2 linked regions of the Oryzias latipes genome follow. The protein of the gene in region 2 interacts with the protein of the main gene of each other region in a pairwise test. Links are inferred from orthologs where the notes say so. Each region holds a gene or a part of one and is shown on either strand. Other genes may lie near its edges.

Region 1 (3,500 bases), on a different chromosome or scaffold from region 2:
GCATTTCACAGACCCTCTCCTCAGATCTTAGCAATCTCAGCGTTGGCCAGGAAACAGAAACTAAAATGTCACAAAGTCAGGCTCGGTCCTTACTGCACATGTGCAGTTACCAGGGCTGGCCTGCCCCACCATGTGCTCGTTTTCTTCTTCTTCTGTTTTGTTTGATGGCAGTTCGGTCCCCAGCGTACGAGGATACCGACACAGACACGTGTTGTTCACAAAGATGTTTTACTTTTAGATGCACTTTAGTTCATGGATTTTATTCCTGGTCATTTATTTGGAAAGCAGTTTAAGTCTAATATAACTTAAAGGAAAGTTTCTAGCTACTTGAATTTTTGTTTTCTGGGAGAATTTTATTTTTGTTTCCACCACATTTGCACTAAATGGTGTCATTTATTTTTAAGAAAGACACTATAATTTGTTCACAGAATATCTGATTCACAGCTAGTTTTGTAAATAATAGCCATGGTTTTGTTTTTCAACAGTTAGTACCAATGTGTCTGGCAGCTACTTGACTGCAGTAGTTTAGTACTAAATAATGGCTGCTGTTCATGTTAACTATTGTTTAAACCAAACTTTACAGATATGTCCAAATGAAAATTGTCATTTTGTCAAAGACAGAGTATTACTGATTTCAGAAATGTTAAACAGAAGTCTGTTATTCATTACACCAAATAGGACACAAGTTGTTCATTATTATTGTGTTTAAAAACTAAAAAATAAATGGGGAAATATTTTCCAAAAAACAGTTTTTGAAGTTCTTCTTTCTTAAAGTTTGATATATCGTGAGTTGTTAGAGACGATATATATCGATTATCACAATATCACCATGCCGTGATAGTATCGTATCGTGAGGCACCCAGTGATTCCCAGCCCTAGTATCCGGTAACAGCTCGGACAGAGCTGCTGGGAAATGTTACCGATGATTCAAGCGGCTTTACTGTCTCGATGTTGGCGAAGAGAAGAAGTGACGTAACGTTCACACATGGGGGGCACAGATCAACCCACAAAATTAGCACCAGCAGAAGCCCCGCTACTCTGGGTGTCACATTCTGTTCACGTGACGTCTGTGCCCTGTTTTGGTTACACCTGTGCAAAATTACAATATCACTAGTATGGAGGTGGGGGCCCACGGCGGGAAATGTGACCTTTAACGGGAAAAATTCTCGTTTATCATCCAATAACCTTTGTGGAAGACCTGAAGGTCAGACGTGACCTCTGAGCGCCAGGACTGACCTTCAGGACGACGTCACCTGGATGAACCTTCAGACACTAGAACGTTGCTCAAGAACCCACTAGGTAATGTAAAGGAAACAGAAAATAGGGGGGCGGGGCCGGTGAAAGGTCACTCACAGACGGGCTGTCTCCGGGGGCTGAACACGTGGATGTCCATGGGGGAGAAGATGTTGGAGTGCACGGTGCGCTGGCCCCTCCCCGTCTCCTTGGTACAAGAGTGGATGGAGTGGGTGTTCCAGTCGGTCCAGAAGAGCGTGGACTCGTACAGCGTGAGGGCGAAGGGGTGAGGAAGCTCGTCTTTAACCACCACCTCCCTGTGAAGAGCAAGAACACGGAATTGAATCAAGCAGTGGAAGAGTGTGGGGTGGGGGGTCGGGATGGGGTCAGAACCTGTGGGATCCGTCCAGGTTGGAGCGGTGGATGAAGTTGAACTTGGCGTCTGCCCAGTACAGCTTCTGCTGGCTGTAGTCCAGCGTCAGCCCGTTGGGCCAGTAGATGTCTTTGTGGATGATCATGGAGCGGTTGGTGCCGTCCATCCCCGCCCGCTCGATCTTCGGGACCTCCCCCCAGTCTGTCCAGTACATGAACCTGACGGAGCAGAGGAGCATCAGAGGACGGGACCAGAACAGTATTATGGGATGTCTGACCATAATACTGGCCATTTAAAACCCAGCAGAACAAACTCCAACCACGACACCGGTCTGAGCGTCCTGAACCCATCTAAGGCTTTGAGACTCTTCCAAACCAGGACCAAACCCAAACCTGACGGCGACCCCATCCACTCATCATCCTGGACTCCAGCGAACGTTGAGGAAATGAGCAAAGCTCAGACAGAATTTATCAAATAAGAACCAAAGTATTTAAATATTTGAAATCAGAAACAGAACATCTGAATCGGATAAACTTTTTCATTCTTTCAACATCTTCTTCACAAGCCTCATTAACCAGATGCCTCAACGAAAGTAGGCGGGGCCTGCAGGCCCCCCATGTCCAAATTATTTGACAGATTTTATGTAGCCCGCTTTCAAGTGGTAGGGGTGTGGCCTTAAACCAAGCTCATTCCAGATTTGTGTGAATGGTTGCCATAGAAACGATGACTCAGACCAACTAGGACCCAGCACTGCTTACAGACGACTGCTGGCTCCAACATGGCGGCATCCATATCATTTAAAAAGTGGCATCTGAATTTTCTACGGGCGAAGTCACAATCACTCGGTCCATTCAATGGTTCAGCCCAAAAAACTACAAAACACACATGGGCTGGTGCCATGTGACTCTGGGAGGGGGTGGGCGCCTGAACCGTCCATCATCAGGTCATAGAACAGCCCCTCAAAAAAGGGGAGGAGCCTGTGCTTGTGCAGGAGACTGAGTGACAGCAGCTGGTTGGTTGGGAACGACGTCACACGATTGTGACTGTAAGCTTCAATCATAAAAAAGTAGCTCCAGAATCCAAAACTTAATTCTATTTTCTCCATTAGTCAATTCAATTTTATTTGTTTAGCCCAAATTCACAACAACAACAGTCGTCTCAATGGTTTCGTATCGGTAATTGAAAAAGTTAAACATGAACTCAAAAGGATCATGAATACAAAGAATTCAATAGGAAAATACTAAACTGGACATTCCTGCCCTTAGACCCCCCCTCTCTGTGAGGAAAAACTCCTAAAAAAACGGATTCTGGAAAAAGGAAGAAACCTCAGGGGGGTCCGCATGAAGGAGGGATCCTCCCCCAGGACGGACAGGTGATTTACCAGAATTAACTTATCTAACTCTACAACTACATATTTAAAGTCCAGCAGACGAGCTTCATCCAGATGGAGTTGGGGGGACAGTCGGGGGTGTGAGTCGAGCCGGAGACAGGATCCACATCCAGGTGTAGGAGCAGGAGCAGAGACCAGGTACTCGGTCAGGAACTGGAGCACGGATGACGGTTAGCTTGAATGAATTGATTTAGTGTTATAAAATCTGCTCCATAGAAAAGCGAAAGTCCTTCTGAAAGGTTCGCTAAAGCGGGTCAGAACCGTGGTCCTGATCCAGCTGCTGCTGCAGCGCTCACACAGAGACAACCACCTCCCAGCAGCTGCTGGTTGGGTTCTGGACCGGTCCCTGAACCGTACCATCAGCGCCCTGGACCGAGTCCAGGCGTGCAGAGCGCGGCAGAACAAAGCCGCTTTGTGCCGCCCCCCCAAGCATTCATCGCCGCGGCTGAGCCGGGTCCACGTCTGCCTTGAACATTTCAAACACAACATATGATTTCATTGTAC
Region 2 (3,500 bases):
GGTTAGGGGAAGCAGGGGAAGGGGTTGCTCCACGCTGACGGTCCCTCCCACAACTCAGAGACGAACTTCTAAAGATTTTCATCAGAATGGGTCTGTAAGCTTTAATATACGGGGGCAGAAATAAAACTGAAATTTCATTCTTCTCACTGCTCCTTTCCAGTCATTAAGATGTGAGGACATGTGTTGTATTGAAAATGTTAATGGTACTGTGGTACTCTTAATAAATAGAATAAACAAGCAGAACAAGAGCAAGGTAAAGGAAAAGCTGTTGCACTGTTGAATAGTGAGGGTTTGAAGCATGCTTTCACATTGGAATCAGTCGCTCAAACGTGCGTTTCCGAGCCCCGTGTGATGGTAGTATGAGACACACGTGACGTAATGATGGAAGTGGTTTACACAAGAGGTTAATAATACGAATTTGAGTGTCTCACACCCTTGACCTTTATTTGTATTCGAGTCAATTGCTAACTTCTGGTCGTAAAAGTAGACTTTTGGTAAATGTGCCAAAAGGGTATTTGCAAAGGAAGGGATCATTTCCAGACAAAGCAGGAGCATCTTCGAGGCTCCACTCCTACTGACCGACTTCACTGAGGAAATGAACGGCGTGAGGAAGCTCCGCCTCCTCCAGCTGCAGCTGACACTCCTGGATGAGCTGGAGGAGCTGGTAGCGCCTGAGGACGGGGAACTCTGGCGAGATTCTGGTCCTCTCCAGAAGAACTCTACGCTCCAGCTCCACATAGCTGTCTGGTACCAGCTGGCCCATGACAAGCTGGCCTTGGATCTGTGAAAAAGAGCAGAAAACATTAGCAGGGTTGAGGTAGACGTGATTTGAACTCTTCCATCCTGTGTTTGCGTTGCTCCACCTTAAAGCTGGTGACCTCCCTTGTGATAGCCTTGCGGAGATTGGCAATGGAGTCGGAGTCCTCACAGAAGTAGCCCATGTGATGATCCCTGATTGCTGGAAAGCCCTGGTGGTTCAGCAGCTCTGCCCTGGTTTTCTTCAGACAGTCCTGGAAGTGCAGCTCATCGCTCACGTCTGCATGAGTGCCCACGAGGATGACCGGAGACAGCGGTGCTACCGCCTGAAGTAAACAGACGAGAGCAGCGAGTGTCTGACCTGAAGGAAAACAAGCCAAATTCATGCACCTTGACTTTGTCCGTACCTTAATAGTGAAGAGCCAGGGTTTGAGAGCATCCACCTGACTGGATCCTTTACTGAGGTTGTACACCACCAAGTAGACAGCCCTGGAAGTGAGGAAGTGAAGATGGGAGCCACTGAACTCTTCCCCCCCTGTTAAGGATGGAAAGGGACTCCTGACTGGCCTTCCAAAGCAAAGTTACCCTCAACTTGAGCAGGTTTTCTAACCTGTGAAGTCCCAAACATTCAGCACCATTTTCTTCTTATCCCGGTCCTTGATGGTCCAGTCTAAGACGTTAATGCCTGCAGCATTCTGATTTGAGTTCAACTGGCGCTTCTGCTTCATCAGTTGATGGATCAGCGTGGTCTTCCCGCTGCTGGGATTCCCCACCACTATGAGCTTCATTCTGTGATACGGCACCGCCTTCTTTAGTCGCTGCTGCAGGGACCTGAAAAACAATTCCAGAAACGGGGTGCAAATCTGACTCCACTGCATTCTGTTCAAGATGTCATGAGGCCAAACATCTATCATTAACCAAGACATGATGCACCAGCAGAGAGGACGTTTGGGTTAGAGAGGCACAGCTCAGGTTGTGCAGCACTCAGATGAACCTTTAGCTCAGTGGAGGCGGAGCTTGAGACTGAAGCTACAGTCATATCTCCCACAGCAACGTGCATTCAGGCAACCACTTTAATGAAAAGCTTATGTAAACGTGCATAGAGGCGGTTTCAGGTCTCTGAGTTCAAAACTTGCAAAGGTTTTAAGTCAATTTTCTGGCTCTACATCTGAAACACTGAACGTGCATTGAAAGTTAACAGGCTAAACTTTGACCAATCTTGGATTTGGCAGTGTCGTTTGGATGACATCCCCTTTAATTCACGGAAGTACCAACCATTTCAAAATTGATCATGGAGGAGAAATTAATAATTGTGGTTTGTGTTCGGCTGGAATTCTACGACAGCGAGTCTTTCATTCATCGGAATAGAGCTGTGAAAGAAAAAGCCTGGAGCAAGATTCACCAGATTGGCACTGCTTTGACATTTCACACAAAGCCTCTTCCAACTGTGACTACATGTGCTAGTATCAGATGGCGACATTCCAGTGTGAACGCCATATGCTGAACGTGCGTTTAGTGCGTTCTCACATGCCCGGTGTGAAGTGTGAATGTAGCATTATTTTTAATGCACCTGTCCGGGTGTTGAACTGTAACGGGTTTTTGAAATGTCCAGGTTTGTGGAGGGTCGTAGAGTGGAGCAGCTGCATCGTAAGGGCACTGAAGATGCTCCTGGTATGGGTATGGAGTGTGTTTTGAAAAGTATTTGTAAGAATAATGTAAGTTACACACACTTATGACATGTAGGTGATGCTGTCGTACAGCGTCTCAATGCCACAGTCTAGTCATTGGGGAAGTGCAAGCACTCTCTCCATGCCGACCATAAATCCTGCACAGGTGATACCTACATGCCCATAGCATGTGGGCACACACATTCTTAATGTCCAATTTCCTCTTTTCTAACAGTGAGGCTGCACACAACAAGCACACTTACCTTGTTAACAGCACTAAAGGGCTGCTTGTGCAGGAAAGGTGTTAGAAAAAAATAATTTCTGTGATATATTGCAATAGTTCATTTGGCGACACCTGATGCTATAAGGACGATATTTATTTAATTATTTATGAGCATCCTTCAGCGTCTGACTCTTGTTTTTCACTTAAACCTCTGTCGCTAGTTGGTAGCAGAGCCCACTGAGCCTCTTTGAGCAGCTCTACACCACACAAGACTACACGATCTCAGCGAGGAGCAGCTTGTTTTGTTTTTATGAGACATGCACTACTTAGTTTTTACTTAGAATGGGTACCGAACCGAAACTCTGTGCCATGTTTCTGCCAGTAACATATGAAAACATGGATTGTGGTGCTATGTAGCGGCTCAGATAAGAACGAGTGAAGCTCTGCAGCTGCACAACGGGTTCTAATGCACGGAGCATCGGCCAAAATGCTATCGGCAAAGCGGGCCAAAGTTCTGCAGAACCTCACAGCAATGGATTCTGGTTCAGTGACCTCATGGATCAGAGTGATGTGTGAAAAAAGGACAACATCGTGGCGATGACCATTACTAGTTCACTTCAGCGTGTAAGAACGCGTGGCTGCAGCGGTGCAGAGCAGACTGTGATGTAAACAAAGCCTCTTAGCCACATTAAAGCGTCTCCTTCATCCTGTCATGCTGCCTCATCATCATCACTTCATTGTTTCTGGAAAGAATTAGTGTCCCCCCCCCCCCCCCCTTTATTTTTGAAGTACCATTCAGGCATCATTCAGTTTAGAAATACTGGAGAAGCTACATTAAGCAATATTGAAAATAC

What was found.
Region 1: the proteins of lrrk2 (region 2) and lrp6 interact in binary tests that used the Homo sapiens proteins (3 or more experiments, as listed by UniProt). The link is inferred for Oryzias latipes from reciprocal best matches to the Homo sapiens genes LRRK2 and LRP6.

What each region holds. Positions count from the first base shown.
Region 1 is NC_019881.2:23,650,698-23,654,197, forward strand, and holds part of lrp6 (low-density lipoprotein receptor-related protein 6), read right to left. Parts: intron 1,825-3,500; coding exon 1,627-1,824; intron 1,551-1,626; coding exon 1,354-1,550; intron 1-1,353. UniProt on the Homo sapiens protein: Component of the Wnt-Fzd-LRP5-LRP6 complex that triggers beta-catenin signaling through inducing aggregation of receptor-ligand complexes into ribosome-sized signalosomes.
Region 2 is NC_019864.2:2,156,222-2,159,721, forward strand, and holds part of lrrk2 (leucine-rich repeat serine/threonine-protein kinase 2), read right to left. Parts: intron 1,588-3,500; coding exon 1,367-1,587; intron 1,292-1,366; coding exon 1,164-1,291; intron 1,083-1,163; coding exon 864-1,082; intron 782-863; coding exon 580-781; intron 1-579. UniProt on the Homo sapiens protein: Serine/threonine-protein kinase which phosphorylates a broad range of proteins involved in multiple processes such as neuronal plasticity, innate immunity, autophagy, and vesicle trafficking.